Arabidopsis thaliana: one gene and its partners. The protein of the gene in region 1 interacts with the protein of each later gene in a pairwise test. Each region holds a gene or a part of one and is shown in the gene's direction. Other genes may lie near its edges.

Evidence for each region. The genes of interacting proteins can lie anywhere in the genome.
Region 2: the proteins of SAC51 (region 1) and AT5G05120 interact in a two-hybrid assay, tested with the Arabidopsis thaliana proteins (one large-scale study listed by BioGRID).
Region 3: the proteins of SAC51 (region 1) and AT1G64625 interact in a two-hybrid assay, tested with the Arabidopsis thaliana proteins (one large-scale study listed by BioGRID).

The regions. Positions count from the first base shown.
Region 1 is NC_003076.8:25,729,000-25,735,766, reverse strand, and holds SAC51 (transcription factor SAC51), read left to right. Parts: upstream 1-2,453; 5' UTR 2,454-2,619; intron 2,620-2,943; 5' UTR 2,944-3,439; intron 3,440-3,537; 5' UTR 3,538-3,701; intron 3,702-3,787; 5' UTR 3,788-3,830; coding exon 3,831-4,877; 3' UTR 4,878-5,432; downstream 5,433-6,767. Other genes in the region: FKBP12 (FK506-binding protein 12), read left to right, coding at 264-297, 479-540, 654-706, 856-957; Phototropic-responsive NPH3 family protein, read right to left, coding at 5,542-5,841, 5,913-6,191, 6,272-6,767.
Region 2 is NC_003076.8:1,508,921-1,513,469, forward strand, and holds AT5G05120 (C2H2 and C2HC zinc fingers superfamily protein), read left to right. Parts: upstream 1-2,311; coding exon 2,312-2,917; downstream 2,918-4,549. Other genes in the region: AT5G05113 (uncharacterized protein), read right to left, coding at 813-1,070; AT5G05130 (DNA/RNA helicase protein), read left to right, coding at 3,196-4,549.
Region 3 is NC_003070.9:24,014,509-24,020,903, forward strand, and holds AT1G64625 (Serine/threonine-protein kinase WNK (With No Lysine)-like protein), read left to right. Parts: upstream 1-2,147; 5' UTR 2,148-2,369; coding exon 2,370-2,464; intron 2,465-2,650; coding exon 2,651-2,740; intron 2,741-2,833; coding exon 2,834-2,897; intron 2,898-3,037; coding exon 3,038-3,079; intron 3,080-3,138; coding exon 3,139-3,228; intron 3,229-3,304; coding exon 3,305-4,081; intron 4,082-4,174; coding exon 4,175-4,276; coding exon of another isoform or gene 4,277-4,321; exon of another isoform or gene 4,322-4,349; coding exon 4,350-4,673; 3' UTR 4,674-4,763; downstream 4,764-6,395. Other genes in the region: WNK10 (with no lysine (K) kinase 10), read left to right, coding at 5,412-5,462, 5,610-5,647, 5,764-5,991, 6,094-6,314. UniProt on the Arabidopsis thaliana protein: Transcription factor that may regulate root development.

The DNA.
Region 1 (6,767 bases):
GAAATAGATTTAATTAGGGTTTATGTTCTATTCTGGGTGGTGATAGTAACACTTAGGTCATAATTAATCTGTAATTTTGCTGTTCTGCGAGATTATTTGTCTGCTCATCTGAAACTTCATACGAATAGATCTCTTGTTTAGATTTTCTATTTGTAGGTTTAATTAAAGAATCTTGTTTATCTTATAATCCAGTTTCTTGTGTGGAATTGAAATGAATTTGTTTGAGAATCTTATTTCTCTTGTGTGTGTGTTTTTTTTGGCAGGGAAAGATGGTGATCTATCCCAGAAGTTCTGGAGGTAAATAATTCTTTATTGTAAGCTTTGATTCTAGGATCAATAAAAAGATAATTACACTTACTTGTTCTTATCATCTACGCATACTCAGTTTATAAATCAATATGTTTCGTCTTAAAAGACTTATTTAATTTGGTATTTCCTTGAGCCTAACTGTGTTTTGTTCTTTGGTATATCATTATAGTACAAAGGACGAGGGACAAAAACCTTTCTCGTTCCAAATCGGTAAAGGTGCTGTGATCAAAGGTATAAACTTACTTACTCTGTTTTATGGTTAATCATATCATATCTCTGAACCTATTTGCCTCTTTTTTGGCGAGTGAACATCATATGATTCGATTGTTTAACTTTGCTTACAGGATGGGATGAAGGCGTTATCGGAATGCAAATTGGAGAGGTTGCTCGCTTGCGGGTATGTATACTCTGCTTCTCTCATCATGTTCCTCTTTGCCATCTATGCTTTTATGGCTCTCTGTTGAAGCACTTTTGTCTTTCATGATAGTTTGGGTGTTTCGTTATATGTTTAACATCTTTGGCTTGCGATCTTATCTGCTTCTGCAGTGCTCATCGGATTACGCATATGGCGCTGGTGGATTTCCGGCATGGGGGATCCAGCCAAACTCTGTTCTCGACTTTGAAATCGAAGTACTGAGCGTGCAGTAATGATCTCCCCAGCTCCTAAACTGTGGGTAGATTATTAAACAACCCTTTATGTTTATTGCTTCTGGGATCTTTATGCAACAAAACTTTGTGATGTCATTGCTCTTCTAAAACTCTTGGACAACGTTTTTATCTAAATAAAAGAAAAGACCCGTCTCGTGTTTCAGTTGGAATGTTTGTACTATATTATGATATTATTCCCGTTTTTTTATTTTGATTAAAATGGTTTTGTTTATTCAATCAAAATGCCAATAAAAAGCACAAAAGAATCAAACTAAAACTTCAATCTTAATGACATATCAGACCCAAAGCAAATGGTCTCAACCATAATGAAATTTGAATTGACCACTTCTAATTCAAAACACAGTATAAATTACTGTTCTTAATATCAAATCAAAGGAAGAAAAAAGACTAAAGTTAAAAACTTTTTCAGACAAGATACATAAGTTAACAAAAGAAAGGAAGAAAAAAGAGAGAGACGCGAGAGAAGTCGTGCGGGTAATTAAGCACTTAAAATTCCCGTGCAATTCTTTAATCATCACTTATGCTTCTTTTTTCTTTTTCTTTTCTCCATTTTCATTTTCATTCTTTTTACTTTTCTTTTTCTTTTCACCCACATTCCCCAATCACATAAGTCCTTTTATGAATAATAACTTTTAACATAAATGAAAGTCTACATAATATTTTTAAAAATAAAACAAAAGTATTGAGCTAATTTTGGCGTTGTATAAGCTAGATAGATGCTAAATTGTCAATTTAAATTAAACAATTAAAAAGAGTGGTTAGCTTTTATTCTTTTCCGTCACAATGGGTGTTTGAAACACACACAACACCGCACCTGAACAAATGTACTATTAAAATATAATTAAGGATGAAAAAAAGCTTGAGCACACTTTCACTAACTTAGCTTTCAATAAAATTAAAGAGGGATTATAACCTGAAATAGTATTTATTTAGAAAATAATTAAGGATATAATAAAGCTCGACCACACTTTCACTAACTTAGCTTTTAAAATAAATAAGAGAAAACGTATGAACTTTTACTTTAACGAATTAAGTATATATTAAAAAATTATATTGGTTAGAAAAATATTATTTAATGATAAAGTATAACCTGAAATTATGGACCGTGAGACTTTGTCATCATATATACCATAATTACGTATATACACGTTCGGCCCCCTTGTCCCATTTCTTTCAAGCAAAGCACAAATATAAACATTGCCACCGTTTTTAATTACTAGATTAATTTCCAAGTTACACATATTTTTCCTCTAAATAATTAAAAATTCAAATTGTACAACTTAAATTATGTTACCTTTTGCGTATCTTAGTTTTTTTCTTTTAAAAAAATATAGAATGAAAATTAATTTCGATATATAGAACAAACAAAAAACCGAAAAAATTGAGAATGTGAATTGGTAAAATAAAGTAATGAAAAGGGCAAAAGCGTCATAAAATCTTTTTATAAAGCCTTGTTACTCTTGTTGCCACTCACCTCTTTAGAAATATTTCGTAAAAAAAAATTCTCCGTTTAGACATTATTGTTCGTTGGTCACTTTCATCTCTCTTATCCCTTTGCTTTTCCATTGATTCAGCTCAAAAAAAAACAAAAAAGTCTCATCGTTTTCTCTGGATCTGACCGAAAGATCATTCCTTTCTAAGGTAATCAAAATCCAATTTTTCTCTCTTATAGTCTGTGTCACTGTTCTCTCTGTTTGTGTATCTGGAGACTGTGGTTAAAAACGGTTTGAGTCGTTTGTGAAATGGTAAAGTTCTGTAATTTATGTCTGAATCTAGCTTAGAACATTGTGATTTGTGTATATTCTGAGTTGTAATAGTAAAATGTAGCGTAATTTTGCTGGAATTGATGCTGTGAATACACCCACTTGCTAGACGTTTATAAATCTATGTCCTTTACTGTTTTTGATCTCTGGATTTAGCTCATTTTTGGTGCTGATGAGATTCTTCCTTCGACTTTTTGCACAGATACTAAAGTAGGTTTGAGTGATCAGAATCAATTAGAGTGTGTATAAGAGGAAGAGAAAGAGAAAACAGCATGTGTATTGCCGTATACCGTAAAGTTTTGAGCTTGAATCTGTATTGCCGTGTGATACTGTAGATTGTTTCACCTTTGAAGCAACACCTTCAAGAGTCAAATCCTTTTCTTTCTTATTCATCTTCCCTTCTTTTTCGGTATATTATAAACACTTTTGAAAATGGGATCACAACATTTCTATGTGTACCATTGTGAACAAAGAATCAGCTAGACTAAAAGCTCACTCTCCTTCCACAAACAAAACTTTCCTCCTTTTGGTTTTGGTATCTGTCTACTTTCTTCAATCAAGATTTCCTCAAAGTTATGGTGTGCCAATCACCTGGTAAGACAAGATTTCGAGGATTGAAGTACGAGACCGGAAACGCTAACGAATCAACAATTGTAGTGAGAGTTATTGAATGCTATCAACCGATGGATAATTGCCAGGTTTGTACCAGACAATAATGCTCTTGTTATCATACTTTTAGCTTATATAGTTCTAGTCTTCTAACACTGTGGTTTTGTGATTATTCTTTGTGTTTCAGGCTGAGTACTTCAGACTTCTACTCAAACCAGTCACGTAGTTGGTTGGTGACATTTCGCTGCATTTTTCAATCTGTGATTGTTTTTCGTTCGTCTTTCTTTTACTATTTTCTCGAAAAGGACACAAGAAGTATTGCATTCACTCAGTTGAGCAACTTAACAATCGGTATGCTCTTTTCCCTCTAATTACGCTTGTGATATTACTGACTTTATCTTTCTTGAGCTGATTTTTGCCTCTGTTTTGTCCTGCAGTGTTGTACTTTTTGAAGTTCCCTTGAGCTAAACTGCTAAGAGCATGCCTCTGGATAAGAGGCAACGGGATTTGCCTCTGGGCTTAAGTCCTCAAGCTTGCTTCAAGGATATAGTAGGTCGGTCTGTCCTTCCTAGAATTCCTCTCCCTGAGCTTGGGAAACTATATGCAGCTAAGCTTCAGGCTCGCTGTTTGCAGCCACCACCATTCCAGTCTTTGCTGTGCAGTCATGATAAGGAGTCTTATGGAAAAAGATTCTCACGGTCTGACATGCGGTCTTGGTGCGCTGCTGCTACTACTACTACTACTCCACTTGGAGCATTAGAGTCTTCTCAGAAAAGACTTTTGATATTCGATCAGTCAGGAGACCAGACTCGTCTATTACAATGTCCATTTCCTCTACGGTTTCCATCTCATGCGGCTGCAGAACCAGTGAAACTCTCTGAGTTACAAGGTATAGAGAAAGCTTTCAAAGAAGATGGTGAAGAGTTTCACAAGAGTGATGGAACAGAGTCAGAAATGCATGAAGACACTGAGGAGATCAATGCATTGCTATATTCAGATGATGATTATGATGATGATTGCGAGAGTGATGATGAAGTAATGAGCACTGGTCACTCTCCTTATCCAAATGAAGGAGTTTGCAACAAAAGGGAATTAGAAGAAATCGATGGTCCTTGTAAAAGGCAGAAACTACTGGATAAGGTCAACAACATCAGCGACTTATCATCACTTGTGGGCACTGAGAGCTCCACACAACTCAATGGATCTTCCTTTCTTAAGGACAAAAAGCTCCCTGAATCAAAAACCATATCGACCAAAGAGGACACTGGTTCTGGTCTGAGCAACGAGCAGTCGAAGAAAGACAAGATCCGCACAGCTCTGAAAATACTCGAGAGCGTAGTCCCTGGTGCAAAAGGAAACGAAGCGCTCTTACTTCTGGACGAAGCAATTGATTACCTAAAGTTGCTGAAACGAGACTTAATCTCCACAGAGGTTAAGAACCAAAGCTCCACCACTCACAAGTCACCAATCTTGTTGCTTAAAGAGACAACATGGGGAACAAGAAATCTGCAGACAGATAAGGCGTGAAAGATTCTGACGAGTTAAAACGTGTGAAGTGGGTTTTTGGGTACGTATCCTCTGCACCAGCTTTTTAGCTGTATATAGTGGACTACTTTTAAGTATTATATATGCTACTGCAAATTTCAAAAAGTTAAAGAAGAAAAGAGGTCACTTTCTTCTTCTCTCTGTGTGGAATGAAAAGCCAAAGTCGTCATGGTCATTGATGGACAATGATTATCTTTTTTGGCTGAGTGTGGATGGTGAAATCAAAAGGCAAATATTCAAAGTCTCATCTCAAGCTCGCGTGATCTATGAATCTCCCCTAAGGTAATAAAATATCTCTGACCCACACACACTCTTTTGTCCATATGATGACTAGATGGGTCCATGATTTTTATGAAATATTGATGTCATGTTCATGTAATTAATTTGAGTGTCTGTAATAATGCAAACTATTCCTTTGTCTTTTGCTTCAACCCACATGCTACTGGTATTGTTGTGTCTCTATTGTTGTATTGTTAAATGGTTTTGTAATAAACAAATGGCGTTTTTTGGTTTGTGATAAAAATCGAATCGTTTATGTCACTTATTCCATATTAGAAACCAATAAACATTACAAATTAGGAACAAACAAAAGCTTTTTCTTTTCAAAGAATCAAAATCAAGAAGATACAAAACCATCACTATCACTTCATGAAATTGAGTTCCTCCATCGTCTTGGTTTCCTGGGGGGTGGATGATCAACACCAGCTTGTTCTCCTCCAGAGGATATGTCATGGCTCTCCTGTCCACTCATCTTAGTCAGTTTACTTAGCTTCTTCCAACCGCTGGTCCAAGCCGAAGAAGATGGCGTGTTCTTCACTTTCCCCGTCTTCTCAAACTGTCGTTGCATCACTTCCATCTCGTTCTGAAGCTCGACGTACTTGGTCTTCACCGTCTCTAACTCGAACTTCAACGTGTTAATATCCTTCTTGGCTGCAGCCCATCCTTCCTGCATTCAAAGTAGAGGAATTAGAAAAAAGGAATTTGTGTGAATTTTGATGAGTGTTTTCTCTTACTTGCCTGAAACGATTGTGGTGTTGCTTCGATCAATGTCTTGCGATTTGGGATCATAGGCTGATACGTACCCATGGCTTCTCCTAAAGTGGTTGACTCCTTGAGTGATGTGTTGGCTAAAGCATTGCTGATCTTGACTTGCTCCGAGAAGAGAACTTGAACCACCACTCTCAATGGCAACCTCTCGTTCTGAGCCGCGTGCATACATGCGTCCATTGATAGTTTTTGACAATCCATCACTCGGCATAGCCGTTTCCTCTCATGCTCCGATAATGTCGGATGCGCCTATCACAACAAAATTAAGCCAAAAAAATGTTGAAAACTATTCTACGAATTTACCAAAAAGACCTTCAATATATATATACCTTGAGATATGAATCAATGGCTCTGTATAGTCCATCGTCACAAGTCCTAGCAGATTCCGGTAACGCCTCAGCCAAAACCTGAAACTTTGTCAACGGCAAATTCCGATCTCTAGCAACTTCGGTGAGATAACTATCCACAAGCCTCGCCACTCTCATTTTCGCATTCTGATTATTACCACCACCACCACCACCATTGTTGTTATTCCCTCTCGGGATATCGGCGTACATAGACTGCGACGGCGACGGCGACATTCGACTCGGACTCGATCCTTCCGTCTGTTCTTGCACAAGAAAATGTTCCAACAATCTCTGAACAAGATCAACATCGTACATTGTCTCTCCTTTATTGTTATAACCAGGAATCAAAAGATCTTGAAGCGTCGCTTGTTCGAATTGCATCCCTACGCGTTTCTCGAGCTCCGTGATCAACGCCGGAGCTACTTTGAGCATGTTTGCTGCTCTAAGAAGACGGAGGAGGAAGCTACAAGTGACGGAA
Region 2 (4,549 bases), about 24 Mb from region 1:
GCCCATTTTATGGACTCATCTGAAAGCCCATTTTAAATCAATGTTGTTAATCCTTTGAAAAAAAAATATGCAAAAGATCAGTTTTCTTTTCTCAACCTCAAAGATCAGTTTGGTGCTGCTTCTCAATATGTGTTTGGTACTTATGCTCAGTCTTTGGCATTTGGTCAAATTTGTCTTGGGAAGCAGAAGTGGAGAGGTTGTTCACACAAACATTACTTTGTTTTTTGTATGGTTAATTTGGCTATTATCTAAAATTTTGTTTCTTATATAGAACACAAATCATTACAATATTTTATTTTTGATTGTAGAAATCATATAAAATGTTCAAAAATGTGTTTTTTTAGTAATTTGATATAGAGATTAAATGAATAAAACAATATAGAATGTTTTCTTTGTTCTATACCATTTCATGTTATATGTTCTATGTAAACAAAACCATTTACTCAAAACGATCAAAGACGCACTTTCTTAATTTTCCATAGTACAGTGTCATAAGCTTCGTTTTATTATCGAACTAGGTCATTGCTGCAAGTGACCCTTCAAAAATTGCACTAGGAAGAAGCCTAGGTGACTCAGAAGCGCAAATTGCAAAATGCAAAAGATTGCACTAGAGATTTTACCTCTAATTACAAGAGAGATTTAAAAGGCAAAGAGAAAATCTGAAAGCCGTGGTTAAGTTATTCATTAAGACAATCCATCAAAGAAACCATGAGTTTCAGTTGCGAAAGTGTGTTGGACAGCCTCAGGTACCAGTTGCGATTTACGAAATGTGTTGAAAGTGTGTTATAGTCCCCTTTTTCCTTCTCAGGTAGCTAATAACCAATCAATATCTTTGCTTTTGAAGGAAAGACAGGTCGTCGCACCATCCAATCTACGTGCTTCAGATCTTCTCTGGTGACGGATTCGTGCTCCTTCTCAATCCTCATCAACTTGTTTAACGTGTGCGCTATTCCCTCCGGCTCAGTGAGAGATTGCAGTTTCTCGAACATGCATGATTCTCTTCTTCTCCATCCTCCTATTTTCCACTTTTGTCTTCGCAAGTACATCAACCCTGATCGATGTCGGAGCATACTCCGTTGTACAGACCCTTTTCAAGAGATGGCTACTAGAACCAATGATACGGCGGAAGTTCATCGTCAATCCAAGCTCTCAAAGTTCACTAACCCTAATTATAATACATATAGCTTTCTTCTTATCTCCAATTAATGTGCTATTTATAAAAATGTTTACAAAGTTTATAAACCTTGATTACATAGATGTTCAATATCATAAGTTTAATCCAATCTGTATATTTTAATGCTGAAAAGATAGCTAAGAAACTATATAGATTTTAATTTGGTATGTTAGAGTTGAATATCTTGTTTAAACCTTGACTATACATAGATGTTCATTATCTTAAGTTTAATCCAATCTGTCATACTAAGCCATGTATATCACAAGAAAGTCTGAAAATGTGCTATATGTCATAGTAAAATTATTAAGTTAATGCTTTTTTGATGTGAGAATCAGCATTATAGATTTGATGGTAAAATGCTTCCATCAGTTTCTCTACTCTTATTAAAAGGTAGCCAAATTTAGTTTAATTACTTACTTTTAATATATATTTTCATTATGTTGATATGAAAATAATTTTATTTTTATTACCTCCAAAGTGATGTATATGAAAATAAATAAAATTGCAAGCAATGGAAAACAATAGAAAACTTAAAGGTAAATATTTTATTTAAGAGTTGAGATAATTATGTACTAAAAGTTTACTACATAATGACACTAATTAAATCTTTAATTCTTGTTTTCTAAAGTTGACTACATTAAGATCTACTAATTAACTCTTTAAACTCTTCTAAATAATTTTGTTTTCAACTATATCTCAAATTTAATAGGGCAAAACCAAAATCTCCCTACTCACTTTGGAAATCAGTAATGTTTGGAACTAATTTTGACTAAATATGCTAAATGCAACAAGTATTAATTCAGAAACAAATTTACTACGCAAATTCGGCAAATGTAAAATGTCAAATATATATAGTAATTAAACATGTTATGTGTGAGTTGTCGAAATGATAAACTAGTTTGTTAAGTACTTCAGTTAGTCTTTGTTCTTCATCATGTTTCTCTATAACTAAGTCCCTTTCCATATTTCATCAATATGCATTTATCTTATTCAAACATCATAACATTACAACATATAACTTTCCTTGATATTAAAAGTGCATACAAAGTATTAAATCTTTAAATACCTATCCGGGTGCAATAACATATTCAAGCCATCAAACCTAATTTCTAAAAGCCCGATCCGATCGACAACGAAATGTTGTCCTCGGACTCGAATTACGCTAGTGATATTAGCGACGATGCCTCCGCCACCGGATCGATAGAGAATCCTATATACAAATGCAAGTATTGTCCTAGGAAGTTCGATAAAACACAAGCATTAGGTGGTCATCAAAATGCACACAGAAAGGAGAGAGAGGTCGAAAAACAACAAAAAGCATTTTTGGCGCATTTGAACCGACCAGAACCAGATCTTTACGCGTACTCGTATTCGTATCATCATTCATTTCCTAACCAATACGCACTCCCACCGGGATTTGAACAGCCTCAGTACAAAGTTGATAGATCATACAAGATGTCCATGGTCTACAACCAATATGTGGGATCCTCAAGCTCTAGCTTTGCAGGACTACAAAGTGACCCAAGTCAAGGAATGAACCAGGATTGGACCTTTACCGGGATCCCATTCCTACCCCAATCTCAACCTCAACCACTATCGTCACCAATATGTTTGGATCTTTGCCTTGGCATTGGTAGCTCCCAAACCCAACCACAACCTCAAGAACCAAATGATGCAACAGAAGAGATGGATGCTGAGAAAGAAAATGATGGTTCTTCCCTTTCTCTCTCACTCAAACTGTGAAATTGTAATCTTTCCCTTTTAAGTATTTCTTAAACTTTCATTCCTCACCTTTGTTTTCTTGCATAGTATTATCGGCTTGTGTCAAATCAGTACTTGTGCACTTGAACATTGTAATAAACTTGGTTGTTATTTGCATTTGAATTTCATATAATAATAAAAACTTGATATTGTTCTGACTTTGGGGTGTCAAATTCTATTTATAAGAATTTGAGATGCAAATCTCAATTTTAGTTACTTTATGATACCAATATAAAAAAAAAAACCACTCTTTCGAAAGGATGCGGGTTTTGAAATACTTTCGAGCTCCTTCTTCTCTCCGTCATCGTTCCTCTCCCATGGCTCAGTTTCTTCGACGCTTCTCTTCCTCTCCCATGGCGAACGAAGACGAATTCCAATCTCCGGTGGAACCATCACAGCAGCAATCTCAGGACTGTGTTTCGGAGTCTTATCTGATAGGGTTTGTTATCGCGAACATAGTAGGGTTAAAGTACTATTCCGGCCGAATCAACGGTCGAGAGATGGTGGGTCTGGTTCGAGAACCCTTGAACGTATATGACAATAATGCAATCAGAGTACTCAACACGCGATCTGAGCAAGTGGGTCACATCGAGCGTACAGTAGCAGCCGTTCTCGCGCCGATGATTGATTCTCACACGATCGTCGTCGAGGGTATTGTACCCAATACTCGTTCTAACTCCAATAGGTACAGAATCCCTTGTCAAATTCATGTATTTGCAAAGTTAGAAGCGTCCTCTACTGTGAAATCGACGATTTCTAGAGGTGGGTTAGTATTGATTTCGGAGTCAGATACATCGTTTGGGTTATCTGAGGCTGTTGTGGTTAAGGAACAGATGGGAAATGGAGATAAGAGGAGTGTTGATAAGATTTTTAAACTTGTTGATGAGAATGTGAAGTTAATGGGGAAATTGGTAGCGGCTGAGCCACCTAGGGAAGTGATAAAGTCTGAACTTTTTGCTCATCAGAAGGAAGGATTAGGCTGGTTACTCCATAGAGAGAAATCTGGAGAATTGCCTCCGTTTTGGGAGGAGAAAGATGGAGAATTTTTGAATACTTTGACGAATTACCGCTCGGATAAGCGGCCTGATCCTTTGCGTGGAGGGGTGTTTGCTGATGATATGGGGTTGGGTAAGACCCTTACTTTGCTTTCCCTGATAGCTTTTGATAGATATGGCAATGCATCCACCAGTACGCCAACCGAAGAGCCTTTGGATGGTGAAGGAGACAAGATTGAAAAGAAGGGTAAAAAGAGAGGAAGAGGCAAGAGCAGTGAAAGTGTAACTCGAAAGAAGCTTAAAACTGATGATGTTGTTGGCATGAATGTGTCTCAAAAGACAACGTTGATCGTTTGTCCACCTTCTGTGATTTCAGCATGGATAACACAGTTAGAGGAGCATACTGTACCGGGAATCTTGAAGGTGTATATGTATCATGGTGGCGAAAGGACAGACGATGTTAATGAGCTTATGAAGTATGACATAGTGTTGACTACTTACGGCACTTTAGCTGTTGAGGAATCGTGGGAAGATTCTCCTGTAAAGAAAATGGAGTGGCTGAGAATAATTCTTGATGAGGCACACACCATTAAGAATGCAAATGCTCAACAGAGCCGAG
Region 3 (6,395 bases), on another chromosome or scaffold:
TTTTACCTTGTTTTCCACAACTCATTGAATAAAGAATTTGTCACATAAACAATACATATTTGCAACTGTCATAGTAAAAATATATTATCAAATCTAACAAAAATTATGTATATTATGAATAAAATACTCTAAATTTAAAGAAAAGTATGAATCCAACACTATCTCTATCTTAGTACATATATATGTGGACTAATGGTAGTTAGTTAGAGTTACTCTTAAGTTTTAAGCGATAAAGGAATTTTGTTTTGTTTTTGACAGAAAAATATGTTCTCTAGTCACATATTTTAACGAAAAGTTTTAAAATAGCTTATCTAACAAAAAGCAAGTGTACAACATAAAATCCAACTTTTGGATTTATTTCACCACTTTCGGACACAATTGTAATAAGAACGGAAAGTTTCGAAAAGGGACAATAAATCAACTAAAGACGAAAAAGGATTAAGGTGAAAATCTTGATGCCGTTGACTTTTGTTCTCAACGGCCATGATTGAGCGTGTGATGAGTATAAGAGACCAAATTATGGCTATTTCTAATAACCCCAAAAAATAAATTGATTGATGAGTTTTTCTTCATTTGATATGTAATTATAATCACTTATTCCATTTCAAGATTTGTGGATATCTATTGATATTCTCTACCACTATCAAGAAGCTAAAAGTGTATTAAGTGCATGTACATTAGCTTAGGCCGAGAAGTTTTTTTTTTTTTTTTTTAAAGGTGATGTATTTGTGGCACTTAGGCTTAGGCATGTAATGTGTGGTGTGAGATGTTGCGCGACTTGCGAGTAACAAAAATGGGTCTCAAATATTGAGGCATGTATTTCTAACGTTTGCTATATATGCCTTTGATGTTCTCTAAATTCTATTTTATATCGTATTTCCATAGTAATATTCAGTAAAATCATGAAATTCGAAGGTTGATATCAGAGTTTATATAGTATAAAGTTTTAAGATATAAATAATCCATTGAAAACTCAAAACATAGGTACAAAATAGCACCATGTACAAATAAATAGCTAAAATAAAGTAATAAAGTAACAAATTAAAACACGTTTAATACTATTCATGAACTAATGTTCAAGTCTATTTAACATTCACATTTTTCCTTGCTTGTGATCTTCTATATAAACTTAAAATTAAACATGCATGGTTTCCTGATAATAATAAGATGTTTAGTTATATTAAAGAAAAAAGATAGTAGCTCTCAAGACTTAAGGCGGAAGCATAACCTTATTTTTTTTAGGTTGGTACCACAAGAGACCACAACTAAACATTTGGATGAATATAGGTATAACAAATCTCTTATGATATGTATATATCTGGCTTATATATGAATGCATACTCTACGAATGTATGTGACTGCTGACGACATTGGTGTTAGACTGTTGATATAATTATATGAGGCAGTGGATCGAGATTTGAGAACTACTTAAGTCAAGATTATCATACCGAGAATTCAAGATTTAGGTGACACATATTTTGGGAACCTCATTGGCCCATACACTAAAGAGGCGGTCATTCTTTCTTTATAACTCTAAACCATATTTTCCAACCAAAAACGGTCGATGTTAAGCTTTAATATGATGTTCAAGATATAGGATACGAGGGAGAAGATGATCGCTAGAAACTCCACAGCACCATTTATCTTCCTCTGTTGTGGGGATCACATTCTCCTCATTTTTATTTTTCCATTGCACCAGTTTCCACTATAGAAATTTTCATCAAATGTTAGTTAATTAATCATATCTAAATATATTGAATACTATTAAAGTATATCATAAATTCGTATCGAGTATTTAATGAATCGATGATAAAAAGTAAAATCAAAATAAAATCTCCCTTTATGGAAATTATACCCTCGAAGATCCTCTCCCGTCCTAAATTTTTCAAAAGACAACAAATAAATATATAGTAATCAAAGCAAACTTTTTCACTAAACCGGCAATAGCCGGTGTAATTCACGTCACTTCCGGGACAAAAGCGTGACTGGACACCGGCAGACAAATCACATCAAATAAATAATAGTAATATATTTAATTCCTCAGACAAAAAGGCTCTTCCACTTCTTATCGAATTACAAACATTTCATGTTATTGTTTGGTTATATATATAGAGAGACAAAGCTCTTAACTCCTTTTTAATTGCTTGAACAAAAAGCAAAACTCAAAGGAATTTTCTCTGTATTTTTTTCTATCTGCAGAAAATTAAAGAAAAAAAGAGAAAACTCAAAAACCCACATTTTTCCTCTGTTTCCAGCTTTTCTTTATCTTTGGAGTTTGGTTTCTGGAGAAGACAAAAGTTGTTGTCCTTTTTAAGAGTTCGAGATCCTGCAGAAATTAAAAGGGCTCTTCCCGGCTTGGATTCCTAAATATGGGTTCAGAGTATAAGCATATATTGAAGAGTCTCTGTTTAAGCCATGGATGGTCTTATGCTGTGTTTTGGCGTTATGATCCCATCAATTCCATGTAATTTCTCTCTTTTTTCTTTCGAATGTTATATGCATGTTCCTGTCTTGGATAATATTTGCATAAAACTAGTTTTGTTTTCCGTTGATTTAGGCAAAAGACTGAATTGCATATCCTCTGGTTTTATATGTGGCTTCCCTACTTTGGTGTCCATAAATGTAATTTAGTTTTGTTGAATTCCATCAGGATATTGAGATTTGAAGAAGCATACAATGATGAACAATCAGTCGCACTAGTTGATGATATGGTTCTCCAGGCTCCTATCTTAGGCCAAGGGTATGCTTTTACACTTCACTCAAATCTTTTATATATCTGTCTCTGTGTTTGTGTTTATATATCTTCAATATACTTTTCTTTTGATGAAATTAGAATTGTGGGAGAAGTAGCTTCATCCGGAAACCATCAATGGCTGTTCTCAGACACATTGTTTCAGGTTTGTTCACTTCTTTTTCTTGGTGTTTGATTTTTCTCATCTGTGAGCTATAATGTATGTCGAAATATAGTGACTGCATAGAACATTTCATGATGAAGAAGAAAAAAGATTTGATATTCGTGCGTTTGATTGTTTTGCAGTGGGAACATGAGTTTCAGAATCAGTTTCTCTGTGGCTTTAAGGTAATTTATATTTTGTCTTCTCTCCAAGTTTAAGGATTCATATATCCATTTTGAATCAGATTCTTATACGGCAGTTTACTTATACACAGACTATCGCAATCATTCCACTAGGATCCAGCGGCGTTGTTCAGCTAGGATCTACTCAAAAGGTTTGCATATATAATTATATAACAATGTTTTCTTGTTGTGGAAGTCATGGTCTAATTACTTACTATCAATCTTTAGATTCTTGAGAGCACAGAGATATTGGAACAAACAACAAGAGCTCTCCAGGAGACGTGTTTAAAGCCACATGATTCCGGTGATCTCGATACTCTGTTTGAGTCACTGGGAGATTGTGAGATTTTCCCAGCTGAATCTTTTCAAGGATTTAGCTTTGATGACATCTTCGCTGAGGACAATCCTCCTTCTTTGCTCAGCCCTGAGATGATCTCCTCTGAAGCAGCTTCTTCCAACCAAGATCTGACCAATGGAGATGATTATGGGTTCGACATTCTCCAGTCTTACTCTCTGGACGATCTATACCAGCTGCTCGCTGATCCACCAGAACAGAACTGCTCTTCCATGGTGATCCAAGGAGTTGACAAGGATCTTTTCGACATTTTGGGGATGAATTCTCAAACGCCTACAATGGCTTTGCCACCTAAAGGACTCTTCTCAGAGCTCATAAGCAGCAGTCTTAGCAACAACACTTGTAGTAGTTCTCTCACGAACGTGCAAGAGTACTCTGGTGTGAACCAGAGCAAAAGACGGAAGCTTGATACATCATCGGCGCATAGCTCAAGCTTGTTCCCTCAGGAGGAGACAGTAACAAGTCGGAGTTTGTGGATTGATGATGATGAGAGATCAAGTATTGGAGGGAACTGGAAGAAGCCTCACGAAGAAGGTGTGAAGAAGAAAAGAGCAAAGGCAGGAGAAAGCAGGAGGCCGAGGCCTAAGGACCGTCAGATGATACAAGACCGTATCAAGGAGTTGCGAGGGATGATTCCAAATGGAGCTAAGGTAAATTGAATAATAATATAGTTTAGTTTAGGGCATCCAAATTATAGATTAACAAATGCATTCTCTAATAAGTTTCGATATATATTTAAACAGTGTAGCATAGATACGTTGCTGGATCTGACCATAAAACACATGGTGTTCATGCAAAGCCTCGCCAAGTATGCAGAGAGACTCAAACAACCATACGAGTCTAAGGTAATGAATCAAATATATCCATTCAGTAAGTACACAAGTGTTTGAGTATTGATGAGTGAATGATGTTTATCAGCTGGTGAAGGAGAAAGAGAGAACATGGGCGTTGGAAGTGGGGGAAGAAGGAGTGGTATGTCCGATAATGGTGGAGGAATTGAACAGGGAAGGAGAAATGCAGATAGAGATGGTGTGTGAGGAAAGAGAGGAGTTCTTGGAGATAGGACAAGTGGTGAGAGGATTGGGATTGAAGATATTGAAAGGAGTGATGGAAACAAGAAAAGGACAAATATGGGCACACTTCATCGTACAGGCAAAGCCACAAGTCACAAGGATTCAAGTCTTGTACTCACTTGTTCAGCTCTTTCAACACCACACCAAACATGATGATTTATTATCATAGTATAATACCTACCACTTTGATTTTCTTTCTTTTTGTTACAACAACAACACAAGAATCTGTTGATAAATAGTAGTAACATTACATCAAAGAAGATTGTATGGGCTCGTGGAAAAAAAAGAAGAAGATTGTATGGGCTTTAAAACATTGACTAAGACAAAGAAAGAAGGCCCATTTAAAGAAAAAAGGAACGTAACGACACCGTTTTGGGTGGATAACAGTTAACTGACTGAATCAGAAAATAGATGCCCGTTATCCTTGACGAGGATAAAGGGGAGACACTGTATATAAATAAAAAGTTGAACAAAGATCAAATCCTCAATCTGTTTTTAGGGTTTCGAGAGAGAGAGAGAAATTGATTTTTGTTGATATTTGTGAAATTTGGTGGCGAAATTGAAGCTTCTTCATCGGTCGTTGTCTAAAAGCAATGGTGGATGGTTGATGAATGGAGGAGATGCTCTTCTTCTTCTATCCAATAACAATAATAAGAGACACGACGCTGACACAAACGCAGAACCATCTCACCACCGTCATCATCTCGGAGATGGCCGCCACACTCCTCTGTTCCCGATCTCGATTCCGATCGGCGATCGACTCCTATTGCTTCGCCCGTGAGGCCTTCTCCGATCCAATCTCCTTCCATCTCCTCACCCTTCTGTAACCACCAATCATCATCCCTCCTTTCTTCTTCTTCTTCTTCTGCTTCCGGATTATTAGTATCATTAGGTTAGAATATCTGCCATGGAAGAGGCTGACTTCGTCCAGAAAGATCCCACTGGTCGCTACATTAGGGTACGACGCTATCTGCAATTTCCATGGTTTCTAGGATAACAATGTCAATCTATAGACTTTTCCTCGATAAGATTTATATAAGTAATAGCTACGTTAATGGCTTGGAAGGTCACTTTAGGATAACAATCTTCTTCTTTCTTTCTTCAGTATAATGACGTTCTCGGGAGAGGAGCCTTCAAAACTGTGTATGTTTGTTTGTTTATACGTCCTTTACTTTTTCATTGCAGTGCCTATGTTACTCTGATTGCTTTTTAAGTATTTTTCTCATCTCTTGTTGTTGTTGTTACCTCGCCGCGTGTAGATATAAGGCATTTGATGAAGTCGAAGGTATTGAAGTTGCTTGGAACCTCATGAGCATTGAAGATGTCTTGCAGATGCCTGGCCAACTTGATAGGCTATATTCCGAAGTCCATCTCCTCAATTCCCTTAAACATGATAACATCATCAAACTCTTCTACTCTTGGGTTGATGATCATAACAAGTCCATCAACATGATCACTGAGCTTTTCACCTCTGGTAGTCTCACCCTGTATGTCTACTTACTCCTCTCCTCTCTTCTTCTCTTTTCATTATCTCTTATAATATATCTACGTCTGCCTTTCCATTGATTGTCATTTCTCTTGGTCCAAAGTTATCGCAAGAAGCACCGCAAAGTTGATCCCAAGGCCATCATGAACTGGGCAAGGCAGATTCTTAAAGGCCTGCACTATTTGCATTCTCAGACCCCTCCTGTAATTCACCGTGACCTTAAGTGCGACAATATTTTTGTCAATGGAAATACCGGAAAGGTCAAAATTGGAGATCTTGGGCTCGCTGCTGTGATGCAGCAACCCACTGCTCGAAGTGTGATTGGTAATAATACTATTAAAACCTCTTTAAGTCTTGTTGGTTTTAGGATAAGCTTTTCTAGAACTGAATATATTGAGTATGTTT